Neurospora crassa OR74A: one gene and its partners. The protein of the gene in region 2 purifies or fractionates together with the protein of the main gene of each other region. This does not show direct contact. Links are inferred from orthologs where the notes say so. Each region holds a gene or a part of one and is shown on either strand. Other genes may lie near its edges. The genes, in order: NCU07382, NCU02685, NCU00210, NCU03042, NCU00505, NCU06622 and NCU07683.

Region 1 (2,962 bases), about 2.9 Mb from region 2:
ACATCGACACAGGACCTCCCGCCTCCGTCCCCGTCACCGCCAGTCTCCCTCCATCGTCGCTGCCAACCACGCACCTCCTCCACGGTAACCGGTTCCGCCCCCGCTTCTTTGCACAGAACGTGGTCCCCCAGCGCGGGAGCGGGAGGGAGGCCATGTGCTTTGGGGTTCCCTATAGCGAGCACAGCTCGTTCAGGGAGCTGGCGCTCTTTTTGATGGCGTTGAGGGTGGAGAAGGTGGTGCCGACGGTGAATGTGGGGAGCGAGGCGAGTAGAGCGAGAATGAAGGGGTGGATTGATCGGTGGGTGGGGGAAAGGAGGAGAGGGGGGTTGGTGAGGATTTTGCATGAGCAGGAAGGGGGAAAGGGAGAGAAAGGGGAAGATACCAAAGGGCAGAAGTTTTGGGATGGGAAGGATGCGAGTGGTGGGGAGGTTTATTGGTAATCTGTGCGGTGCTCTGTATGGTGGTGTGCGGAAGGGTTGGGAAAGGGGGGAGTGCGGTCGGTTGGTTGTTTGTAAATCTGTCTGAAACTCTATTCGGCCGTTGTGTTTGCGTTTCCACTCACACATGGAGAACACCGCCCTTGCCTGATTCTCGGTTCAACTCAGCCGTGTTCATTCCTCATCTGGTATCCGCCTATGTGACACTCTTGACGCCCTGCCTGCTTGTCTTCTCCCGTACCACCCCATCCTGGTCTCTGGCCCTCTTCGTTTGCCCTTGATTCTCGAGCGCGTTTCCTTCCAGCTTCGTCAATCGCATCTGTTGATAGACAACGTTGGTAGCGACAATAACGGGTCGAAAGTTAGGGTGTGCGTTCCGTGAAGTGGTTCTAGAGCGAATGATCCCCTCCTCCTCCTCCTCCTCTCCTCTCACATTCAACCCTGCTTAGCTTTCGTAGCCTGGTTGGCCGCCTCTGCAACACGGCGTTAGTATGCATCCAACCCATTCAACCCTTCCATGCAGCTACCACGAGCCCCTTCTCACTCAACACACAAAACATACCTCTTCTCGTGGCATCCTCTAACAACTGGATATCCACGCTCTCCTGGGGCAGGTGAACGTAACGAACCACAGACCCGCGGATAAACACGTTCTTGACCGCGCTCAGGTGCGGATACTTGAGCTCTTCAACGACTTGGATGTTGTCGAGCTTGATGTTGAGGAACTGGTCGACGCTCTTGAGCACGCCCCGGATCTGGATGTCGTTCTTGAGCTCGACCGTGACCTCGTGGTCGATGAGGGTCTTGAAGAAGCTTTTTGCGTGAAGTGTCAGTCTGTATTTGTTTGACTAGATGTTGCGGTGGGTGCTTGAAAGGGAAGAAGGGGGGGTGGGAAGATGTGGTGTGGTGTCGATGCGCTGGTCCGTATTCATAAGGGAATGCAGGGATTGATGAGCAATGTTGGTAAACAGTGTGGTATGTTGAAAAGTCATCATGTGTCAACTCAGGCAGGGCTTGGTCCAGGTATGTGAAGCAACTCCTGATATGCGTCGCAGACCTTGTCATGCTCGGCTTCAAAGCAGCATCACAACATAGCGTAGACTTGACCCCACTAGGGAATAATGACTTGATGTAATGAACGAACACGAATGCTCCTCTTGGGTTGGATGAGAAAATTAGATTACCTGAAGAACAACATGTTGTTGGTATCAGTGTTGCTATGTTACCAAATGAGTGACGGGAAAAGAAATCAACCTTGATGATGTTAAGATATGTTGGACAACAGAACTAAAGTGACGGGCATTCATCAATTGGTCGAGGTGCCCGTTGCTTGCTGGAACTGTAAACGCCAAGGAGACGACTGCCCAACTCGGTGGAGGACTTGGAAAGAGGTGAGCCGCGCTTTGGGAGTCCGAGCGTCCATCAAGTGCAGTGGGAGCACAGACCATTTGTTCTCTATCCGCCAAGACCTAGGTGCCCGTATCGTGCTACCACAGTAGATAAGTACCTACCTACTGGCAGCTGACAGCCCGGGGAGGTGGGCAGGTATGGCACAGTTAGTTTGTACACTACAGAGCTGCCCTGCCTCCTGAAAGTGCCCATGTTGAAGTCGAACCCAAGTGCCGTCCAACTGACCTCTACCTCTGCAGGAAAGAAGTGCCCGACAACCAAAGTGTGGCACAGGTTCAGTTGTCTGTTGAGTAACGGCAACGCGAGGAATTCACAGGCGCGACACGGGCACATCAGTCACACAAACTCAAACACCCGACGGAAATAGCATTGCGAGGCCCAGGGCAAGGGCAACTCTGGAACCCCAATTCCACTTGCAACTTGAAGTGTACCTCTCCTACGTAACTTAGTCACCTAACTTAGTTACGTACACTTACAACGCAGAACGCTACAGAGCAAGTGGAAGTTGAAAGAGGCCCGCCCAGCGCTCTGGCCCAGTCCCATCATTGCCTGATTCCCACACGATTCTTCACTCCCCGCGAGCGACAGTCAGGGTCGACAGGGATGTGCCATCAGTTATTGTGCCGTCATTGGATTGTGTATCGACCAGCATCGACCGCCTTTCAGCGAGCGAGGCAGACCGCGACGAGCATCCCTCGAGCACGCCGTGGACGCGGCAGCCTTCCCGGGTCCTGATACCCCTTATTAGACAGACAGACGCCATATCGACATCGCCGTTACCTACCGAGGACCCAGAGCAGCCAGCCCCCCCAAGACCCCCCGAGTCCGGATCCTCTTCCACGGAACTCCCTAAAATCCCAACAGATACCTGGAACCCCCGACAGCACACGGGCCGGAAGTCGCCGCACCAGGATCACCCGTAGTAAGGTGCGCAGCAGCCAGCGGCCAGCAAAAAAAAAAGCCAGGAGCGCGCGCGGGGTTGCCGATTACGCAGCAACAATGCCGCCGCCCTCGGGCCAAAAAGGCAGCCAGAAGGGCACGGGGAAGAAGGGTGGAGCGGGTGTCATGCGCCAGCACCAGCACCCGCGCAGTCGCAACACCACGCCCAGCGCCGG
Region 2 (3,936 bases):
GCTCAACCCAGCTACCTTTTTCAGGCGAGTACACTTGCGTGCCCTTGATGATGACGGTATGGGCTGGAAGGTTGACACCCCAAGCAAGAGTGGCTGTGCACACAAGAACCTGGATATGGCCACTGGCAAACAAATCTTCGACGTCGGTACGATCAGCACGACTCATACCAGCATGATGGATACCGAAGCCATAGGGCAAGATATCCTTCAGATCGGTGTTGTTGACAGAGTTGGAGGCTTCGCTCAGGACTTCACGGGTTCCGGCGTCGTGCTTCAAGATCTGGTTGATGGTGTCCATTTCCAAAGCCTTGTCCCTGATGTACCTGGCGGTCTTTGCCGTTTCCTTTCTGGAATGGACAAAGATGAGCATCTGATTGCGATTCTGTCCTACGTGCTCCAAGACCTTTTGGTAGGTGATATCATTCATGGTCTTTAACTGCTTGATGGCCTTTCTGTCCGTGACGCCGATAAACTCTTGACGGAGGGGGCAAGGGCGGAAGGTACCATCGAAGTGGAAGAGCCCGGTGTTCGTATCCACACGCAGGAAGCTCGCTACGTCGCGGTAGTTGGGCAGAGTGGCAGACAAGCCCACAATGCGAACAGGCTCACCGGTCTGCTCTGTCTTGCGGATGGTTCTGGCGACAATGCTTTCAAGCACAGGACCACGGTCATCGTGAAGGAGATGGATCTCGTCAATAATAATCAGGCGGACCAGGTTGGTGTAGGAGAGATCAGTAGCCTTTCTCGTGATGACATCCCATTTTTCGGGGGTCGTAACGATAATCTGCGTTTCCGAGATCTGTTGCTTAGTAAGTTGCCGATCGCCAGTGAGTTCGGCCACCCTGATACCGAATGGTTCGAGACGCTTTCCGAAGTTGCCGACCTGTTCTTGAACAAGGGCTTTCAAGGGCGCGATATAGACGATCTTGAAGGCGTCCAGGTCGATCTCGCCGGCTTCGTTTCTATGCTTCCCGATCTCACGAAGGATGGTGAGCATCGCCACGTTGGTCTTGCCAGAGCCCGTCGGAGCACAGACAAGCATGTTTCCATCATCACCAAAGGCAGTAGGATAGCACTTTGACTGAATCTTGTTTAACGATTTGGCCGTGCTGAAAGGTATCTGAGCCCACTCAGGCATTTCAGAAATCGGGACATGGGCGTCGCTGGGGTCGTTGCGCTTCTTTGGTGGGGGCACATGGATTTCTTCATAGCCCTTGAAGGTGCGCTTTGTCGAGCCCTCGGGAAGTCGTACTTTGGGATTGGTCATAAGGTGGTTACCCTGATCGAATATGAGGTTCTCCAGGTTTATTAACTTGCGTGGCTGCAGACCTCCGACTAGCTGTCCCTCGGGACGCTCAGGCTTTTGGCCTTCCTTATCAGCAAAGGCCCCCGAGTCAATGTCCATCTTGATGTCCATCTTGATCTTCTTCTGGCCGCCGTCGGTCTTGCCTTCCAGCTCGTCCAGAATCCAACGCAGACCCTCAGAAGCCATCTCCCGCTTGATCGTATTTCTCTCCTCCTCATTCTCAGCTCTGGCCAGCCGAGTAAGCCATACGACCTTCTCCCGGTTAGCAATGAGTTTTTGCACAAGCTCGTGGTGTTCGTAATCAAAAAGCTCCATCAAGTCGTTTTCGATGTCGCGGAGCTGCTTTTCTTCACCACCTGGCTCATCGGGCTCGCCGGAAAGAGTCTTGAGCGCAGACATTGTCTTATCATGCTGGATATGTGCGTCGGGATATAGCCGGCCAATCTGGCGTTGTAACCAGAACGCATCGATATCTCTGGCGGGTATGGAATTGTCGTCAGACCCGCTTTTCTTCCCTTCCGGTGCTGAATCGATGACCATGGCCTCGCCGTTCAGAATATCTTCGACCACCTCCTCCTGACCTCCTTCACCATCGACCACCTCGTTGCTGTCAGGCAGCTCTTCATCCTCCGCAAAATCCTCCTCATCGGAAGATTCGTCCCGAACAACATCAACCATGCCATCATCATCTTCATCGTTCTCGAAGTTGACCGCAACACCCTGGCGACCGTCAATCTCGTCGTCGCCTTCTTGCCTAGCATCGCCCGCATCCTCGTCTTCATCTTGAGCGTCGTAATCCGTGATCTTTTTGCCGAGATTTATGAGCTCGTTGAACTGCTTGGGCCCCATCGAGACTCCAAGAATATCATCAACCTCCTTCTTCTTGTCAAAATCCTTCAGGTCGTCATCCTTGAGATATTCGAGAACCGCGTCAGCAGCACTGCGAACGACCTCATGGGGCACGTCGCCCAAGTGTTCGGCGACAATGGTGAGGATAAGGTTGAAGGCATCGCGCGTCGGCTGCGTTCGAGGGCGGTAGCGGAGACCTTCGATAAGCGCGTCGGCGCCAGTAAGAATACCTCCACCTCTTGTAGCGGACTCGAGTTTGCCCTTCTTCTTCTCTCGTTGCAGGATATCAGCACCTTCCCTTAGACTGCCCCGCTCGACGTCGGGCATGGCGCCCGCCTTCTTGGGCTTTGGTGCTGAGTCGCGAGCGACTCTGGAGCCCATATCTTTGATGGACAGACGCCCGGCTAGGGACTCGGGGTCTCCCGTGGCCTCATCGGTACGCCTCGTGACGAAACGACGGTCCGCCTGGAGAACCAGGTTGGACATGGCCGAGTATTTATATTGCGACACATCGCGGTGGTGGTCCGTCATCTTGCCAGCTCGGAGAAGAAAAAAAGAAATCTATGAAATGTTTTGAGGTATACGTCAAGATCGAAGTAGAGGTCGTAGCGGATGGAAGAGTCTCGATCTGGTGATATCTTCAACTCGGCCTTTGGGGATAAAATGTGCTTGTTCTTGCGTGCACGCAGTGGCGATAAATTAGCCCGAGCCCGGCCCGAACCAAGCGTTGGTTTTGCTGGCTGATAAGTAGTATTTCGCCGGTCGCATCGATGGGTAGATCAAGAATCTGGGGTCGGGCGGAAACAGAGATGATGGGTTTCCGACAGAAGTCTGTCGCGGTTGTCGCGAAAGGAAGGTTGGAGTTTGGCGTTCAGTTTGGAAAGGTTGAGCCAGAGGCGTGGTTCTTGCCAGCCAGCAGGAACTTACTTGGCTTGGTAGGGGTGGCAAGCGGTGCAGAGATAGGTGTGGCTCCAGTCATGACGGCTGGAAATTTTTATGCAATGCTGCCGTCGTCGACTCTCATTGGCTGCCTGGACAGCACGTAAACACACTGAACAGCTGGAGCTTGACCTTGCTGTCAGGGCGGTGTTAGTGCATAGGCGGAGACCCCGTGGGGTGTGTAGAGGTTGGTCAAGGTGCACTAACAAACATCCTAAAGGTGGTAGGCACAATCATCAACACGATCTCAACCCATCGAGCAACTCGAGATAGGTGGCAGAAGTCTGATCCATGGGCTCCGACTTCTACGATACCTCTTTTTCATACCACCAAGAGGGACGAATCGTATTACTTCACGAGCTATTTGAACAATCATTTGAATGCTGGAAACTGAGATACCTCTGGTTCATACCACGCTCTCTTATGTCCGTCCTGCTCACATCGGGCTGAGCTCATCGATGATCACAGTCATTCACAATTTGACCAATAAGCTGTTTTATGCCTTGATATGAAAAGAAGCCAATACTGATAGACAGGTCAAGTTGGAATTATCTACACGATGGATTCCTTTCGAGAAACGCTAGAAGCTGTTCAGAAGGTGCTGCAACCATACACCAGGCCTCGCGAGGAAGCCGCCCATATCAGACGGATCTTGACACTTCACCTCAGTTCGGGCTTGAAAGACGGAGCAACGCTGACAGAACCGTTGTCTCTCACCGAGTCAAGTGAAGTACCCTCCTACTCACAAGATACTAGAGGTCTGTATAGGGAATTCCTCGAAGCATTGCGCGCGAACATCAAAGCCCGCAAAGAATACCACACACTCTCACAAAAGCGCAGTC
Region 3 (3,330 bases), on a different chromosome or scaffold from region 2:
GGGGGTCTTCTTTGGTAAGCGACTACCCTATGTTGCAGTTGCGCCAAAGGTTCTACCGGAAATGCTAATCATGTCGCGGCAAACAGGAAGATCCCATGGCGCATGTCCAAGTTCCAGAAGCTCAGGCAGCGCCGCAGACTGAGGGCCGTTGACAACGTCGTCGCCACCATTGAGAACGCTCTTGCCAAGAAGGGTGAGACCGTCAAGGCGGTGGAACGCTGGAGGGCTGAGATGCCCACCGAGGCCGAGATGCTGCCCAAGGACAAGTACACCATCTTCGACCGCAAGGAGAAGAGGTACCGCAAGGGCATCCACAGTACGGGCCACCCTTGTGCATCACTTCACAGCAGTCAAAGACCAAGGCTAATACGGCATTCCTTTTCCAGAGCTTCCCAAGTGGACCCGTGTGTCCCAGAGAGTCAACCCTCCCGGTTACTAAGACCTTCGACCCGGACGATGGACGATATCGTGCAAGCATGTATATCACTTGTAACATTACGCAGCGAAATGGCATGGGTGACATTGGAGATACCGCTAACAGGACCGTTTGCTTGGGGCAAAGAAGAGGAGGCCTCCTGTCTCGTCTCGCAAAGAGACTGACTGACTTGGAGGTCCTGTCCATCATGGACACTCCTGCTCGCTCCATGTTGAGATACCACTGCAGAGAGCAGCGCAAACACGGCCAGGCGAGCATCACAGAAGAATGTGTGGAGCCATACCGAATGGATGGGAAATCAATAATTTCCCGAAATACCATAGCAAGATACCAATACAACAACGAATATCATGTCTTCCAAGGGGGTATTTGTCTTTTACGCTTCTCTGTTCCGCCTCCACTTGCCCTGAATGAACAAAATTCGTAATTTCAGAGCCGGCTTGCATATTTTGTGTCGATTTGTCATGACGACTGGTTGAATATCTGTGCACTGGATCATGATGCACTCCCTCATTGTCCCACGTAACTCCCATGCAATGACAACTCTAGCGCAAGCGGCCGTATTGTTCGTCGTTATCGTCGTAGCGCTTGTGGTCATGCTCCCTCATTCTCTCGGCCTGGATTTGCCGGCCAAGACCACCGCGGCCCTCGTCGTAGTCCTCACGGTACTCATCACGAACTTGGCCGCCCGACTTTCCACGGCCGTACTGTCGCCCTTCCTCGAAGCCTGGGTCGAGATCGGTTCGGATGATGCGCTCGTCCAACTTGGTGCCGCCAATGTACTTCATGCAATCGAGAGCGTCCTGATGGGTGTAGTATTCGACGAAGCAGAAACCGCACGGTGTCTTTTGTAAGCGATCGAGGCCCATGACCAAGCGCTTGATCTCGCCGCATTTGCTAAAGAGTTCGTAAACCTGTTCTTCGGTAGTGTAGAAGGAACTGCCGAGGTACATTCGGTTAGTTCTTGTTTCTTTTGATTTTTTTTTGATTTTTTTAATTAAGGACTGGCAGCGTGGGGCAAACTTGCAGATTGCCGACGTAGAGCGTGGTCGCATCCTTCAACGGGTCATCGAACGCTTCGGGATGCATGTTACTGTCTTCGTTTTCTCCATCGCGGTGGTCCCGGTCGTGACGTCTGTTGCGCCTATTCTGTGTTGAGTGGATGGGTCAGCGGTCGACGGGGTGCTAATTATGGACAGGAGAGATTGGCAATGTTTGGGCATGGAAATGCCGTCAGGAGCACTCACCTTGTTGAAAAAGTATGCACTTGGCCTGTCAAGGCGCTCTACGGTGCTCCTTTGGCGAGTGTTCAACATGGTTACCTGGTAGTGAAGATGGATTATCTGCTCTTGGGTGAAAGGTGCCCTGCAACTGCGAAGAAGAAGGAAAATCAAAAGCTGTCAGCCCAAGTGGAAGTTCAATGGTTTGGAGTTCTGAGACGTCGATGGGGATGATGCAGTGGTTTCCCTTGCCAATGGAATTGGACCTACCTAAGAGGTAACTTAGGTTGCCCGCTAAAGTGGAAGTACAGGCGCAGCTACTTTCTGAGCGCGACTGGTGTGCCCGTGTACCGCGACAGCAGCACTGCAGGCTTCGTTCACAGTTCAGTTCAGCTCAGGTCAGTTACACTTAGTCCTGTTGGCGCACAGTGTCACAGTGCATCGGACATCACTGCATGGCAATCCAGGTAGTCTTGGCACTGTAACGGGCGACGGAAGCCGTTGGTGGTGGGTCAGGTACCCTATCTTACGAGGTGCCCGCAAATATGACGACGGCAGGCAAGGGCAGAGCGATGGAAGCAAGGGCAGGAGGACTTGGTGGAGGCGCTTTGTCGTTGATCCAACAACCATTGCCAGCCGATTGGACCGCAATCTGGCACCCAATTTACAGGCGCGTCACAGCACAACTGTACCTACCTCGGGCTTACCATTTATAGTATGTATACAGCTAGGTCTCCGTTAAGACCTCCATTCGGCCATTCCATCCCCTCTCATCCCGGGCGGCCTGCCTGTCTCCTGTTGATCAATGACCGATGGTGTGAGACGAGGCGGCGAGCACGGTCTGGACTGAACACCGGCGGACAGTTGAAACGGACTAAAGGGCTGTGGAAGGAGTGGAAACGCGCTAAAATGAAGCTAACACGATCGATCAAGGCAAGCAACGGAAAATATACGGCATAGGCACGGAAGCGGACGCCTCTAGTGACGCCCTGGACGCCTCATTTACAGCACTGGCTCGGACTGGACAATAGTGGCATCCAGCACTCGTCCATCCACGGGCATCCATCAGGTCCGTAGCACTACACGCTAGTCAAACCTTGTTGTTACCATCCTGACCAGCCAACCGAGACCACTAGCAAACTTCGCTTTCCTGGCTTTTTCTCCCATGGGATCGATCGAGGGGCCTGCCACTTCAAAAAGGGATCCCAATCTCTCTCCTTGTCTTCCCTCCCTTGGCTTCTGTTCTACTTGCTCTTGATCACCTTTTTTTTTTTTTTTTTTCATCTTCAAAAACCGAGAACCGCCATCACATTAATAGTACCGGTACATCAAATACATACGTACCTCGACCATAGTGCGCCTGCCTACCTACATAGCCAATTACCTCCCCACCTACATACATTACTTCAGCAGAGAAAGCGAAGTGCAGCACGACGACAAAAACCGGCCCGTGCATGCTAGGACATAGCAGGACCTCAACACAAGCTACTATTTCTGCCTAGCCAGACACCAACTTCGGTTTTCATTGCGCCACACGAACCACCGTCATCTGTAGGATTCATCAGGCTCGAGTTGGATAGTATAGCGACAACAGACAGCTCTTAGCACAAAACCACCAAGCACAGTCGGGATGCCCAAAATCCGGAGCTTCTCGGCGCCCTGGCTCCAGGAGCC
Region 4 (3,950 bases), about 5.1 Mb from region 2:
TCCACGCTCTGTTCCTGGAACGCATGAAGAATGCCATCGATAAGGCGTTCTTCCAGACGCTCGCCAATATCGGCAGCACCGAGAGAGGCCACAATCTTTTCAACCGTCTCCACCGTCATCTTGCGGTAGGCTTCGCTCTCGTCCTTTAGGTTGGCTACGATCCTTTCCAGAATCTCGCTGACACCAACCTTTTGGCCAATGTCGACAGTGGTCTCAACGACCTGTCGGTAGTTGCGCTTATCCAGAGCCATACGCCGTACCCAAAAGCTCTTGAAGAACTCGTCCAGCACATGCTCCTTTAGGTACCCAGCCGTTACTCCATCGGTGGCGGCGCACTGTGAAATCACCTTTAGCACAACCTTCTTCATCTCTTCATCAGGAGAGGCAAATTCTCGTAGCAGAATCTCCATAATCTGACTGGTGTAATAGTTGGCATAGTCTTCATCCATAAGCGGGATAATATAACCGACAGCCTTGAGGAAACCCGCCAGACCCTTGCCTCGCTGCTTTCGGGCACCGGTCCAAAGGGGGTTGAGAATATCATCAAAGCTCTCGATACCGTAGGGGTTAGATGCCTCGGCGAGAGCTGCGATGGCCAAACTGGTCACTGTGCGGACCTTGGTCTGTTCATCGTTCAGGTTGGGTCCGATACAGTCAACCAGCTGCTTGAGATGGGGCAAGACTGCGCAGCCCATCAAGATGGGAATCTGCTGGACGATCTTGACACCCGTGTGACGAGCCTGCCACGACTTTTTGCTTCGGCACACAGCTCGCAAGAAGGGGAGCAGAGCTGGGATACCCAGAGCCGAGGCAACGACGGCAAAGGCTCTGGCAGTAGTGTTTCTGACATATTCATCGACGTGATCAATATCTGGACGCATGACACTGATCATTGTGGCAAGACCAGCAGCCTTGCTGAGGTTCGAAATGATTTCCCGACCCTCAACACGGGCATAGTAGTCCTGATCGATAAGAAGGGGTTCGATAACGACGAGAATCTTGTGAACGTATGGTCGAACCATGTCATCGAGCTTGTACAAAATACGATCAATAACCTTGACGAGAAGATGGCGTTCCTGGTCCTCCAATGTTTTCTCCATGAGCAGAGGAAGAATTTGGTTGAAGAGGGGGCCGGCACCAAAGTTGCGAGCATTATCTGTCAATTGTCTGAGCGCAGTCTTTCTCATAGGAGGAGTACCGTTCTTGACCTTCAGCAAGAGCCTCATAATCTTTCTCTCCTTGAGCTCTTCGACACTCAAACTTTCCTCATCTGCTCCGTCGGTGAGCTTGCCGAAGTATGCCATATCTTCGGGCTTGAAGAATTGCAGGTCTCCCACACCGGGAATCTCCTTTGGCACCTGCTGGCCTGTCATCCGTCCGCTGTCGGGGTCCTGCATCATGAAGCCCGTTGTTGGGGCCGGAGCCTGCATCAGCTTGTGTGCCGGTGCTCGCACGGGGGCATACCCTGGTGGCGGCTCAAGAATCTTGTAACCTTGTTCGGGGCCTGGAAGCATCGCGTCCAGCTCTTCGTCGCTGAGTGGTGCGTAGCGACCGGCCGCATCAGCCCCGAAAGCTGGGGGCACGACAGCGGTCTGGGTAGGGTGCATCGGGGTAGCTAGGCCGACATTACCAACAGGAGTGGCAGAAGGCGCCTGGTCCCAGCGGGATCGCTTCTTGGGTTCCGCCCCTGGCGCCCCTGGAGCGGGAACAGATGGTGCTTGATCCCACCTAGACCTCTTCTTGGGCTCTGGTGCCGGGGTAGCATCATCTGTAGAGGCGACATCCCATCTCTTCTTGCGCTTCCGACCAGCCGCAGCTTCAGTAGAGCCAGCCTCCTCGTTCTCCTTGTTACCGGAATCCTGAAGGGTAGGCTGGTGCTCCTCGACCGGACCGCCCTCCTTCATCTTCTGTTCAATGGCGCGCCGTACGCGCTCTTCCTCTCGCTCAAGCTCGCGGCGTTCCATGATTTCCCGGTAACTCTCGCCTTCATCAGTGGCACCTGCTTGGCGGTTGGCAGCAAATGGGTCGGCTCGTGTAGGGGTCAGAACGCGGTCAAATCGGCGCTTCTGGTAGTCGGTCTCCCTGTCGGTGATGCGGTTGCTCTTTTCGCCCCGGCCAGCCAGGGGATCATCCTCCTCGACGCCATCGCCGCGTGCAAACTCATCGATCTGAGCTCGGGTGGCGGTGTACTGTCCTACTAGGCGGCGGCCGGAGTCGGCATCTTCCATCTCTTCGTCGTCGCCATCGGCAGCAGGCAGGGTGGTGTGGTAGCCCGCAAACTTGTCGCCGGTGTTGCGCTCATACAGATCGGTGTCCCATATTTCTCCCAGCTTGGCTTTGGTGCTGTTGTCGGATCGTTGGTTGGCAGGATCAAAGCTGCGCGAACCGCTCTTGGCGGCAGCAGCAGCATTGCGCTCCTGCTGGAGCTTCTTGATCTGCTCAAAATCCGAGTCCGACATGGTGCTGGCCGTATCCTCCTCGTGTCATGTCAGGTCGGGGTCGTCGCAAGAATGTCCAGCGCGCCGCGAGGGTGAATGATGGTATGTGGTCGGGAGGAAACGGGACGTGATGATGTGGCGCTGCCCGTGGGTGGTTGGGTGGGATCGGGTATGGTAACTGACGGGGCAGCTAAATTGACGGTGACAGTTTTGACACTTTGTCGTGTATAACTGAGGCTATCAGCAAGGGAATAGACGGTGGAGGCAGAGGGATGCAGGTCACGGCTGAAGACGGGCGCAGTGGATGCGGTACGGTGCACACGCCTTCCCTGAAATTTTGGCCAGCGACTGGTGACGGGACGTGACCGTGAGAGAGCTGACACGGGCTTGGCAAGGCTGCACCTGAAGTTTCCACTCCAAGTGGCGCTCCAGGTGCATTAGGTAAGCAGTCCAGACCTCGACGCTTTCGATCGCGGTGGGGAGCAGGGGAGCTTCCATCCATTTCCACTTAGCTCATGTGGGGAGGCAGCACTTTCACTTTCCACACCCTCAACTTCCATCCATTTCACCTCTCTCAACCTCGCTTCATCTTCGCTTCGACCAGCATGACATCCCAACCTGCAACGCCGCTACTGTATGTAGAGTTGCTTTCAAATATCCGCCAGATATCGCTGGCCATCTCACTGGGCTCTGCAAGCGATGCGTCAACACGAGTAGTGGTGGCAGCGGATGGAGAGAATGTCGAGCTCACACACCATGGACAGTCACATACACTACATCTACCCGCAAAGGTAGCCCTTGGCGGCGCCATTCTGCCAATACAAAGACCTGGAGCCTCTGCGCTCTCCTGGAGGTTACCGTTGGGTCAAGGAACATACACGGATGCATCATCAGCCGAGTCGTCCACTTGGACAGCCACCGATTTGAAGGCCGGGTCCGAAGTTGTTTGTAGACAATGCCAGGCCGTTGTTGTCAAGCGAGATGTTGTCAAGGTGTGGAAAGACCTCCCGAGTGAGAACTGGGCTGAGATGATGGAGTTTTGGCACTGTCACAAACCTGGTGACCACGATCATGACCATCACCACCACGACAAGTCAAACGGCGTTGATGCCAACGGGCAAAGCGATAGGGCAGATGACATGAGTCTTGCAGCTCGAGGATATGGCGCGAGCTCGGCCATTTCGGCGCAACAAGGTGTTGGGTTTGTTGATCTGACAACGCTGTTATTCGTCGAGCAGGACTGTTCCAACATCACGGTAAGTCCATATGTAGCATGCTCATGACTTGGTCTATTCACCGTCTCGAATGCGTCCATTTGAATCTTAGCAGTCGGGGCATCAAGAAGGTAGCCAAGTCGGCCTCGGCCCCTCAATGGCATGGATACCGATACAAATGCCCAAAATCAAGCAGACTCTGTCCCCTGCTTATGCGGGGCATTGAGTGGTCGACGAACCTGACTTCTGTGATGGGGCGCTTCCAGTCGGTGGATGACAGGCTGAACCCTCCGCATTT
Region 5 (3,179 bases), about 5.0 Mb from region 2:
TCGTCTCCCCCTTTCGTCCCGGATCGGTAGATGTCCTAGTCTTCAACCCGCCCTACGTCCCTACGCCTGACTTGCCTGCGCCGCCACCGACAGGGTTGCAGGCACTGAAGGAGAAAACGACGTTTGAGGAAGACTCACATCTCTTGGAGTTGACGTATGCTGGAGGGAGGGATGGGATGGAGACGACGGATAGACTGATTGAGGCCTTGCCGGGGGTGTTGAGCGAGAGGGGGGTGGCGTATATTCTGCTTTGTGCGCAGAATAAGCCGGAGGAGGTCAAAGGGAGGATCAGGGTGATGGGTGGTGAAGGGAAGTGGAAGGCAGAGACGGTGGGGACTAGTGGGAGGCAGGCGGGTTGGGAGAAGTTGCAGATTGTGAGGGTTTGGAGGTGAATGGAGGGATGAGATGCTGGTGATGAGTTGAGGATGGGGAGGAAGCTGTTGAAGAGGGTGGAAGAGGGGGAAGGACGATGGTCAGTCACGTACAAGGCTCGAAAATTCTGGGGGAAATTTGGTATAGAGAGTTGCTGATTGTGCCGCCTTCTCCAGTAGGCATATATCGCCGTCTATCTGTTTTGTGATACATAAAATAGTTCATTCCGGTGGCGGTTGGGCGCGCCTTTCTCTCTCTCCCTTCCCGCTAGCAAAGTGATTTTATCCTGTCCAGAACGCCGCAACGAAATCCCAATGCTTGCCCTCTGCTCCGATCCGATGAGGGGGAGTGGTGTTTATGTGTGTAACACTCGATGCGAATGAGGTGAATCTCGAGTGTCGCTCAAGTGAAGATCTGGGATATGCTCCTCGATTTTCTGAAGCGCACTCATCGTCGATTTTGTCGTGTCGTCGCCACCGGACGTTATTTCGGGCCGGCCTTGATCTTCCCTACCAAGACGGTCAAGCCGGTCGACCGAAGGGGGCATAAAAAACCGAAAAAAATCCACCATTAACCGTAGTATAGCATCGTATCGTCTTTGAAAAAAAATCTAATTCGCACGTTTCTGTCGTCCAGGGAGACGTACGCCGTGGCCGATCCCAAAGAAACGAGATCCGCTTAGCCACGGCCACGACCGCGGCCGCGACCCATTCCCCTTCCTCTGCCACGGCCACCACGGCCACCTCTGCCGCCGGCGCTGCGGTCCGCTTCCTTTCTCGCCTTGTTCTTGGGCTTCACGGAATCATCAACTAGCAATGTATCGAGCGGCAAAGAATCGGGGAGTATGAAGTAACGGATGGTCGAGCCCCTGTAGGGTTTCAATAGTTAGTGATGCCCTCGAAAACTGAAAAGGGCCACTCCCCCTTAGTTGAAAGGGTTGATTTACCTAATGTTCATGGCATCTAGAGCCACAGCGTCCTGGCCCTTGGGGGTCATCTTGACGTTGCGAAGCGCAGTGTCCATGCGGGGTGTGACCGAGGCGATAGTGCCGTGTACAATTGTGCCGTTCTTCAACTCAATCGTCACCGTCTCGTTGGCGCATTTCATCAAAAATCTGCAGTGTTGAAGTAACGGATTCCACTTCGTCAGCCTGGTGCCCTTGGTGTTCTTTTTCTAGTAGAGCAGCATGGACGCGCGCGAACACGGGCTGGCAGCCTTGAAGGCGAGGACTCAAAGCTCAGCATGCGTCGTGCAAGAGAATAGGAATGAAGTCGGGTGGGATGGGGTATCGGGTACATGTAGCGAAGTATCAGAAAGCAAGGAGAAATCTTACCTGACCAGCTTCATCTTGACTTATTTGGACAACGCGTAATCGAATATGTGTTGTATGGAATTGGTGGTGACAAGGTCTCGATTACCAGCTTGTTACTTTGTCAATCAACAGTCGCGACGGGAGAAGGCTTGTCGAGCTTCCTTGGACGCTTGCACAACCATCCAAGCGTCAGGGTGGAGCAGATAGCCTGCCGTCGCTACGCGCCAAGATAGAGCCCGTGCTCAATCACGTGAGCCGAGCTGAACAGGCAAACGGCGGCTTGAAAGCCCCTAACCCTGGAAGTCATGGGTTTCAAGCTATCCATAAATTGCCTGCCCTGCACATGATCTGTTCATGTGCTGAGTTGAAGCAACCAGATAATTGGGGTACACGAAGATGGGCTGGCTAACTGCCACGCCGAACAACAAGGTGTTGTTTACTATGACTTTGTCTCTGAAGCTATAGCTGTAGTTGCACAGATCATGATGCCTCATGGCAGGATAAGGACTATGAAACGAACATAGGGCTTACAGCCTTCAACTGCCTCTCCTTTCATCCAATGAAGAACGAAAACAGGGTGGATGTGTAAATGCCATCGTCGCTCAACTCCAACACGAAAGCGGACCATGACACTATTTACAGGATGCCATGGTAACTTCGCTAACACGACATTCGCTTGTACGTTCTGCGTGTGGTCGGTCCCCGCTCAATCGCCAGGATATTCACTTGTCCTTTTCGTTCTCGTTCTCCGAAACCTTCTCCCACTCATCTTCCGTGCTGACGCCGCTCTTAGTGCCCAGGCTCGGTGTCTCCTCAACCACTCTGTGCTTCAGTTCTCCAATCTGCTGGATAGGCTCAACCTCATGGCTGACCGCCTCTGCAATTGACTCCTGCCTCGTGAGGCTAGCTGTCGATGTAGCTGCCTCTACTTCTGTTTCGCTGTCTTCCGATGTGACTGGAGTTGGCGCTGCTTCTTTGGCTCTTCTCGCCTTTTCCTCTTCTTGGATTTGGTGCACCTTCAGTTCCGCCGCGAACCAGTTGATGGATCCCCAGAGTCCACCGCAGAGAGCCGAGAGAATTACGAAGTGGATACTCCATGTCGCAAAGAGGAGGCACGCCAGGACAATTTGCAGAGCGGCAAATGTGACATTTGTCGCGATAAGGAGGGTGGGAGTCGGCCCCGGAGTGAAGATCGACTCCCAGAGATTTGTAACGAAGGATGTCATTGGGAAGATTAGGCTGGCGCTATGTCGGCGTTGAAAAGTTTGACCGTGAAGGTATGTCGTGTAGAGGAAAATTCTTGTTGTCGATTCGTGTTCAGGACGATGCGCCGTGGAAGCGATGCGGACAAACGAAGAGACAAACTCGCAGTAAAGTCAATGGTTCGTAGTGGATGACTACAGTCGAAGAGAGGGTTAGTCACGGCCTCACAACCTTTATAAATGACGAGGGACAGAAGGCAGGGGACGGATGAGGATGTGCAGCCCAACCAGAC
Region 6 (3,608 bases), on a different chromosome or scaffold from region 2:
GCCGCGGTCGTTTTGGCGCCTGGACCGGTTATGGGAGGACTGGCAGCTCCCGAGGGGGTTATGCTATCTTTGGAGCAGGGACAAGTGGGTGATCATGGAGATGAGCGGGATAGGATGGCGATGCTGCCGAATGCCAAGAAGCAAAAGGGGTCCGGCGGGTTGCAGCAAACGTCCATCTTGATGTCTATGAATGGGGGGTTGCCTGCTGGTACAGGAAGCGGTGCTAGTGGAAGCATTGGAGGGCTGGCGGCGCCGGTGAATGGACTCGGTGCTGGCGGGGTTAATACCGGTATTACCAATATGGGTGTCACGACGGGTGTGGTGGGCATGTCGTCGGCTTCGGGACGACCATTTAGTTCTACTCCTGGTGTGATGAGCGGCATGAATAGGGGTATCTTGTCGGCATCACCGCCAGCTACTACGTCGGACGAGGATCCCAGCGCGCAGTTGCAGATGGAGATGAGGCAGGCGGCGTCACAGCAGTATCGGGGTCATGATGGGGATGTGGATATGACGGGTTAGTTGAGTGACTGTCCATACATACAGAGCCGAATAGACGTGTTGAATATCCGGGCGAGTACAAGACGTTAAGAGGTGTAGAGTTGCCGAATCAAAGACCATGGGCCCTTGATATGCTCGTCCTAACGTCCCTTTCCTCAAGGCCGCTCCGATTGCTGCGGTGAAATCATGACACCACTATCATGTTTCACTATCTCTGTTTCAACCCAGCAAATTTGCGCAATTTGGTATACAGTTATTTTGCAGTAAGCCCCATCTAGAACCGAACGCCGACAAATGGTAAGCTCTTTGAAGTGCCGTCCTCCCCCTTTTCGTCACCTCTGCAAGCCATCATATCACGAACATATAGCAACCTGATCTACCACGTTCGTCAGGTGCCCGTCACCTTGGTTCCTCCTTACTCCTCCATGGCATCGTCATCCTCGGCGATAATGCCAGGTGGCAGCCGTCCCTCGTTGAGCGCCTTCTCCAATCTGATGATTTCCTCCAAGCTGTCGGCCTTCTTGATCAGATCCTGCAACTTCTTCTTCTCTTTCTCTGTGAGCTTGAGACGCGAAAGTTTCGAGGAAGGACCACTGCCGGCCGCACCGTTGGCGGAGCTGGCGCCAACGTCAAAGGTCTTGCTCTTGATTCCCTTTATCTGTTTGCATGTTAGCAGGGTTGTCATGACATTGAAAAAGAAGACAAGGTACATACCGTCTTGGCCAACTCCGTCGGCTCATCAGCGGTTCCAAACAGCTCCTTCGCCTTCTGCCTCTCGGCGTCCTTGACCTTGACGTAATCGAGAAAGCGAACCTGAGGGCACAGCCAGAGGACCCAGTAGCGGTAGTTCTGTGTGTCGACAAACATTGTCAGCCATTCCGTACATTCATTCCATTTGCCACCCCCGTCTCCGATTCTCTCTCAGCCGCATAACACTGGGCGACGAAAGGGCGTTGTGTGACGTACCTCCTTCTTGGTAACGGGGTTGTCCGTCAAGACCAAGTGCGTAAGCCTTGGAAACCTTCCCAACACCTCCAAATCCGCCAGCTCGCCAATATTATTGGACGCCAGGACGAGGTTCTTCAGGTTCGGGGTCGCATTCGGTAGGGTCGACTGGATCTGGGCGATCCTGTTGCGGGCGAGCAGGAGGGTGCGTATGCGGGGAGAGAGCGGGAAGTTGCCCAGCACTTGGATATCGTTGTCGGTGAAATCAATGGCATCGTGGGGCTGTAGTAGCGACCGGATTAGCAAACTGCATTAATTGGTAATTTGGTTGAAACGGGCTACCAGTAGCAGGACTAGCAGTAGAGGAAGAACCAGGAGAAGGGAGAAACTTACCCCAGCAACGCCCAAGTTCTCAATAGCAGGTATTCTGTGTCCTATTGCATGTATCCCAACCCAACATAGGTTTTCGATATATCAACTCTGTTCTTTGTACGCGCTTTTGGAAACTTGAAGATCAACCGTGCAGTATCTGCTCTTCTCGATGGAACGCACCTCGGAGGTCTATCTCTCGCTCCTTAAGCGGATTGAGATAGGAAAGGGAGTTGTTGATAAGGTCTGCCGTCAGCCTCATTGTGACGACGGGAGTGCAACGACGACGGGGAGCTGTCGAGCTGTCGCTGCTACTACTACTGCGATGCCGGTCGGTACCTTGTGATGGTTGTTGCTGGTGGTGCTTTTGTAATACGGCGGCGCAAAGGGGCTTTGCAAACAGGTGATTAATTATTGATTACAGCCAGGAGAATTGCCGTATGTCCTGTGTTCGCCTTCGAGATTGAAATTGATGGAAGTCAACTAAAGAAGCAAAAGGTTGAAGCGCGTCGCGTGGTTCGTAATTGGTGGCTGTAGTGAAGTTACCAAAGTAGATTGACAAGGCTGCCTGCCCCAATGAAGTCATGGACAGCGCCGCAAAAAAAAAACGGACGATGTAGTAACCCTAACCCTTGCGCGTCGGATTACTTGCAAGTCGCAACCACACGGAGCTCCTAAACAGAGTCGACACGGTTTGTGTCTGAAAGACTAGGGTACTAGAGTCAGATATTATATGTTCATTTTCTGCCCTCTTGTTGGCCTAAAATGTTTCTTACTCGCTATCTCGCCAGGTTGCTGTCAAGTTTTCGTTCTACTTCTTGGTGTAAACGCTTTCACAACCACTAACCGCCCGCTATGGAAAAACCAAAACCACTTTCATCACACTCGCTCTTTAGTCCAGATCCCCAACCCGGCATCATCTAAAGAACCTGCAGCTGTAACTTTAGGGCTTGTTTCGTTATGATGCACACTATTGTGCAATTCCATTGTAACGTCACCAACAATGCTATCCCTACATCGTCTAACCGGACGTCGAATGACGCCTTCCATGCTACTCAAACCAGAAGCCAAAGTCACTGACACAATAAGCTTGCTATGTAACGCATCACGCAAGTTCCATGTCCATTACCTGGTATCACACACACACAGAATTTGCCCGACCTTGAACCAGAAGCGGGATTTAGTATGCGAATCCACACCTCTCGTCCTTTTATGCTGATAATTTGGTGCCCAAGGGTCGTGCCACTCACTCACTACTCGACGATAAGCCCCTCCAAAGCTTCCATCGCTCTGGCACCCTGCTTCTCAAACAGCAGGACCATCTCCTCGCATTCCCTCTTCAATCTCTGCTCAGCCAAGTTGGCATTATGATAGATCCACTCCTCCACGGTCATCCGCTTTTCCGGGCTCGTGAGCTCACTGCCCTTGTGCAAGAGTTTGTCAATGCCGTCTTCCTTATCGTAGTCGTTCTTGTTGGGCGAGAATATATTGTCTAGATCTGCCGCGGTCCAAGGCTTAGTGCTTTGAAGGGCACCCAGAATCGTCCGTTTGGAAGGAGAAGTGGGCCTGTCCGGTGTGGTAGCCATTGGTGCTAGAGCATGACGTTCGACTATTGGGGTCATTTGCTTCGGCGATGGGGGTCGGTTCTCTGCATTCGAGGATTGCATTGAAGGCGAGCGGTAGACGCTTGGCTGTTCTTGAGGTACACTCGCGACTGTAGGTGCCTGAGGTGTAGCAAGCGGCTGAGACAGGTGATCTGGGGACTCAGATGGCGGCGGAGGAAGAGACTTGTT
Region 7 (3,364 bases), on a different chromosome or scaffold from region 2:
ACGATGATGGGCGCCGTGCGTCCAGCGTATGAAGAGGCTTTGGATGCTGGCGATCTCAAAACATCGAGCGCATCTGCAGCTTGATAAAGAAAAGAAAAAAGAGAAAAAAAAAAGAAGAATTACTGAAATACTCAAAAGCATCGGAATGGAGATTATATAACTAGTTCAATGGCTTGCTAGAATCTGGTAGTGGTCATTATAAGAGAATCAGGCGAGTGAACAAATCAACTAAAACAACTCACAAGGTTGTATAGTGTAGCGGTTATCACTCCGGATTCTGATTTCCTTCAGAACATTCCGGCAACCCCGGTTCGATTCCGGGTACGACCTCAACTTTTGAGTTTTTTCCTCTAATTTCTTTTTTTTTCTTCCTTCTTTCTTCTTTTTCTTCTTTTTTTTTTTTTTTTTTTTTTTTTTTTTTGGAGTAACTCCTTCCATAGTTGTAGCCGCTCCGTACCACCTGTTTCCTTGCCATGGGCAATTATTTCGTTGCCTCAAAAGCTGCAACAAGTCGCCCGCGAAGTGCATCATTTTTGTGTGACATGGAGGTCTCAGGACGCCGCCAGTTTTGTAATCCTTTCAATGCTTGTTGATAACGGAAAAGAATCTCTCAAATGACGATAATGCGATACAATGTGCCTTTTGTGTTAGGTGCAAGAGAAAATCAACCAGGAACTTCAAGCTTGGGTATCTTTTGCTTTAAAATAGTCATATCCTTCGTGCCGTAAATTCCATGCTGATGCATCGAACACCTAGTCCGGTCTATGTGTCCGAGCCAGGCCTCTTCCAAAAAGCCCACACGATGACTGCCCATGAACCATCATGCATGTCTGTCGCTGGAGATGGTCTTCGTGCCCCATTCAACCCCGCCTGGGTTTTGTGTGAAAGCCCATTCGGACCGTGCAAGATGCAGCCCATGTTTCTTTCTTGGCTGATGCTCTCCATCCCTTTCCTCTCACCCCTACGCACAATCGCGGCGGCCCCTCGCGCCTCTCGTTCATCGATCGTATCATTATCAAAAGGCCGTACTTCCCTACGTTGGGTGGTCGTTGCGCCTCGCTCGCTGTCCCAAGAACATGGAATTCCACCTCATGCGCCCCTGCCACGGCCGCGGCCTCCCCTGTGACCACCTCTGTCGCCCCCTCCTCGTCCGCCACGGCCGCCACGGCCGCCATAATCGCCTCTGTTCTGTCCGCCGCCGCGGCCGCCTCTGTGTCCACCGTGTTGACTGTGTTGCTGCTCCCTTGCAATGTCGATCACGTCGTCCGGTACTCGAAGATATTTGATCTGTTTGTCCCCATAACCATTAGAAACCGCTGGTCGATTGATCGTTGACTCCTTTCCTGGCAAGAGGCAAGAAGAGAGAGAAAAGGAGGGGGAGGGGACAATGTCGAGACTTACGTTGTTTCCCTTGACGTAAACCTCTGGTAACCTCACAAACTTATCGCCTTCCTATTACGTCATGTAAAGTTCGTTGGTAAGCTGCCTTGTCCCCGACATTCTCTTCGACGTGTTGGATTGCTTGTTTCATCCACTCGCTCATCATCATCATCATCACTGTGCATCATCGCTCGAACGAAGGGACGGAGGGACGGAGGTAGGAGGTAGCACTAACCGGGCTGGTCTGAACAACCTCCCTTAGCGTCAGATTCATCCATGTATCGCATTGGATCAAGTGGCCGTTGAGCGTTTCGCCGTTCTTGAGCTCAACGAGCATGGGATGGCCTTGCGCCGCGGTGAGGATGCCTAACGGTAGCTGTTTGTTGCGAGGGAGCAAAAGGTTAGTACATTTCCAAGAGGGATACCGAAGTGACGCTATATGCAATGAGAATTCGACGTACCATAGTAGTGAGTTTGGAAATCGACAGCCGTTAGTTAGGCTGCCTATTGTTGTTGCGACGGAGACCAAAAGGAGAAGTTGACGTGTTGGATGTAGTGACCAAAGGGAAGTGCGCCCGCGACGGGAAGCCTGTCCTGGCGCCGTGGCGTAGCTGGAGCTTGCCGGCCGCAACAGCTTATGGAGTAACAAATGTAGCGTGGAGCAATGACATGGTTTACCAGGATATCTGGGAGCCGAAAATCAAATACAGTCGAACCCCCTGAAACTGCATACTCCAGATTCTGCATATATGCTAGTTAGTGCATAGAATTTCCAGGTCTGAATCCGCCATTTTTGCCCAAGCCCCGCCTCCAGAAACTGCATATACGCCATTTAGTGCATGGATTTTGGCGGTCTGGATTACATGCAGTTTCAGGGGGTTCGACTGTAGCCAACCGGCAACCCGAGATACACTATACTTAGTGTACAGAAAAGGTGGGACAGCCAAAAAGGAATAATATCCCACGTATATTTGTTATCTAAAGCTTCAGAGTAGCAGTAAGTAAAAAAAAAACGGGTTCTCACTGCAATTGGAAATACTGTTATCCAGATCCAAGTAATTTCAAGAAAAGTGCGGGAGCAAAGAGACATCGAGTCAAAAAGAGTGGACGAGCTGGGAATCGAACCCAGGACCTTTCGCATGCTGTGAAACATGCTAAGCGAACGCTCTACCAACTGAGCCACACGCCCTGAATGAGTAATGCAGTGTTTGCGCTTTGCGCCCTATAGCTGGAGCTCAAAGTTAGAACTCCCCGCAGTCTTCTGTAACTCATGGGCATGTCAAGCGCCTATGTTGAATCAGTTTGCCATATCCCTTGAGGAGAGTTCCTATCAAACGACGCTTAAGCTTAGTTGAGGCTCCCGAGTTGAATATAGAAAATGATAGCCGGACTAATTGACCTCCAACATTTAAAAGTTGAATAAGAAGTCTCGGACACTAATGAGACATTAGACTTTACCTCCATATCTAGTGTATATTTGTCGTAGGTAGAGTGCGTGTTATGGTACTAGCAGACTGTAGTAATTCATTGCCAAAAAGTCACCCGCCAGTCCTTATTGCAGCTCTTGTTGAACAGTGGACTGATAAAGATAGTTTGGAACTTGAGGCTATAGCACTATCATATGTATCGTTTCGAAGGGATTTGTTGAGCCTTGTAATAAGTGGGATCTAACAAGGAAACGCATCCTGCTCTTCACTGATTTTGCTGTTTATCTCATTATCTGCCGTGTCTCCTGTCTTCTCTGAGCCCAGTGTCCTAGTGAACTCGCGCCCCTCAGAGTAACGGTAAGTGTCACAGTTTGAGGATTTCTCGCATATTGGACCGTTGATTTAATGACATGTAGAACGCCCTACACAAACCTTCTTTTTCGATGGCTCAGTTGGTTTTGACAACGCGCCCTGGCCGTGTTCATTATAGTCGAGAACAAGACCTGGTAGAAACAAGGGGGAAAGAGGATTTCACTGTGATATGTAAATGACATAAA

The links.
Region 1: the proteins of NCU02685 (region 2) and NCU07382 purify together in Saccharomyces cerevisiae (affinity purification with mass spectrometry; 7 studies listed by BioGRID, with this or other methods). This does not show direct contact. The link is inferred for Neurospora crassa OR74A from reciprocal best matches to the Saccharomyces cerevisiae genes BRR2 and LSM2.
Region 3: the proteins of NCU02685 (region 2) and NCU00210 purify together in Saccharomyces cerevisiae (affinity purification with mass spectrometry; 3 studies listed by BioGRID). This does not show direct contact. The link is inferred for Neurospora crassa OR74A from reciprocal best matches to the Saccharomyces cerevisiae genes BRR2 and CBC2.
Region 4: the proteins of NCU02685 (region 2) and NCU03042 purify together in Saccharomyces cerevisiae (affinity purification with mass spectrometry, with the first as the bait; 3 studies listed by BioGRID). This does not show direct contact. The link is inferred for Neurospora crassa OR74A from reciprocal best matches to the Saccharomyces cerevisiae genes BRR2 and HSH155.
Region 5: the proteins of NCU02685 (region 2) and NCU00505 purify together in Saccharomyces cerevisiae (affinity purification with mass spectrometry; 7 studies listed by BioGRID, with this or other methods). This does not show direct contact. The link is inferred for Neurospora crassa OR74A from reciprocal best matches to the Saccharomyces cerevisiae genes BRR2 and SMD1.
Region 6: the proteins of NCU02685 (region 2) and NCU06622 purify together in Saccharomyces cerevisiae (affinity purification with mass spectrometry; 5 studies listed by BioGRID). This does not show direct contact. The link is inferred for Neurospora crassa OR74A from reciprocal best matches to the Saccharomyces cerevisiae genes BRR2 and LEA1.
Region 7: the proteins of NCU02685 (region 2) and NCU07683 purify together in Saccharomyces cerevisiae (affinity purification with mass spectrometry; 7 studies listed by BioGRID, with this or other methods). This does not show direct contact. The link is inferred for Neurospora crassa OR74A from reciprocal best matches to the Saccharomyces cerevisiae genes BRR2 and LSM4.

Annotation. Positions count from the first base shown.
Region 1 is NC_026501.1:6,141,317-6,144,278, reverse strand, and holds NCU07382 (U6 snRNA-associated Sm-like protein LSm2), read right to left. Parts: upstream 1,827-2,962; 5' UTR 1,745-1,826; coding exon 1,692-1,744; exon of another isoform or gene 1,636-1,691; coding exon of another isoform or gene 1,622-1,635; intron 1,251-1,621; coding exon 1,000-1,250; intron 911-999; coding exon 873-910; 3' UTR 501-872; downstream 1-500. Other genes in the region: NCU07381 (DNA cross-link repair protein pso2/snm1), read left to right, coding at 1-440; NCU07383 (transcriptional regulator Ngg1), read left to right, coding at 2,847-2,962. UniProt on the Saccharomyces cerevisiae protein: Component of LSm protein complexes, which are involved in RNA processing and may function in a chaperone-like manner. Component of the cytoplasmic LSM1-LSM7 complex which is involved in mRNA degradation by activating the decapping step.
Region 2 is NC_026501.1:3,198,499-3,202,434, forward strand, and holds the start of NCU02685 (pre-mRNA splicing helicase), read right to left. Parts: upstream 2,801-3,936; 5' UTR 2,687-2,800; coding exon 1-2,686. Other genes in the region: NCU02686 (hypothetical protein), read left to right, coding at 3,654-3,852.
Region 3 is NC_026503.1:3,018,642-3,021,971, reverse strand, and holds NCU00210 (nuclear cap binding protein subunit 2), read right to left. Parts: upstream 1,944-3,330; 5' UTR 1,753-1,943; coding exon 1,684-1,752; intron 1,586-1,683; coding exon 1,464-1,585; intron 1,376-1,463; coding exon 982-1,375; 3' UTR 501-981; downstream 1-500. Other genes in the region: NCU00211 (mitochondrial ribosomal protein subunit L31), read left to right, coding at 1-14, 87-316, 387-439; NCU00209 (hypothetical protein), read left to right, coding at 3,287-3,330.
Region 4 is NC_026501.1:8,343,984-8,347,933, forward strand, and holds the start of NCU03042 (U2 snRNP component prp10), read right to left. Parts: upstream 2,801-3,950; 5' UTR 2,460-2,800; coding exon 1-2,459. Other genes in the region: NCU03041 (hypothetical protein), read left to right, coding at 3,044-3,694. UniProt on the Saccharomyces cerevisiae protein: Contacts pre-mRNA on both sides of the branch site early in spliceosome assembly.
Region 5 is NC_026501.1:8,193,174-8,196,352, reverse strand, and holds NCU00505 (small nuclear ribonucleoprotein Sm D1), read right to left. Parts: upstream 1,847-3,179; 5' UTR 1,720-1,846; coding exon 1,706-1,719; intron 1,588-1,705; exon of another isoform or gene 1,487-1,587; coding exon 1,319-1,486; intron 1,241-1,318; coding exon 1,051-1,240; 3' UTR 501-1,050; downstream 1-500. Other genes in the region: NCU00504 (hypothetical protein), read left to right, coding at 1-392; pkr1 (ER membrane protein), read right to left, coding at 2,407-2,910. UniProt on the Saccharomyces cerevisiae protein: lays a role in pre-mRNA splicing as a core component of the spliceosomal U1, U2, U4 and U5 small nuclear ribonucleoproteins (snRNPs), the building blocks of the spliceosome. Also binds telomerase RNA and is required for its accumulation.
Region 6 is NC_026504.1:1,833,531-1,837,138, reverse strand, and holds NCU06622 (U2 small nuclear ribonucleoprotein A'), read right to left. Parts: upstream 2,377-3,608; 5' UTR 2,078-2,376; coding exon 1,999-2,077; intron 1,881-1,998; coding exon 1,840-1,880; intron 1,729-1,839; coding exon 1,468-1,728; intron 1,351-1,467; coding exon 1,216-1,350; intron 1,160-1,215; coding exon 917-1,159; 3' UTR 523-916; downstream 1-522. Other genes in the region: NCU06623 (hypothetical protein), read left to right, coding at 1-522; NCU06621 (hypothetical protein), read right to left, coding at 3,069-3,608. UniProt on the Saccharomyces cerevisiae protein: Involved in pre-mRNA splicing. Associates to U2 snRNA in a MSL1 dependent manner and is required for normal accumulation of U2 snRNA. Required for the spliceosome assembly and the efficient addition of U2 snRNP onto the pre-mRNA.
Region 7 is NC_026504.1:2,247,658-2,251,021, forward strand, and holds NCU07683 (small nuclear ribonucleoprotein), read right to left. Parts: upstream 2,036-3,364; 5' UTR 1,845-2,035; coding exon 1,842-1,844; intron 1,757-1,841; coding exon 1,616-1,756; intron 1,453-1,615; coding exon 1,402-1,452; intron 1,288-1,401; coding exon 1,090-1,287; 3' UTR 501-1,089; downstream 1-500. Other genes in the region: NCU07684 (hypothetical protein), read left to right, coding at 1-84. UniProt on the Saccharomyces cerevisiae protein: Component of LSm protein complexes, which are involved in RNA processing and may function in a chaperone-like manner. Component of the cytoplasmic LSM1-LSM7 complex which is involved in mRNA degradation by activating the decapping step.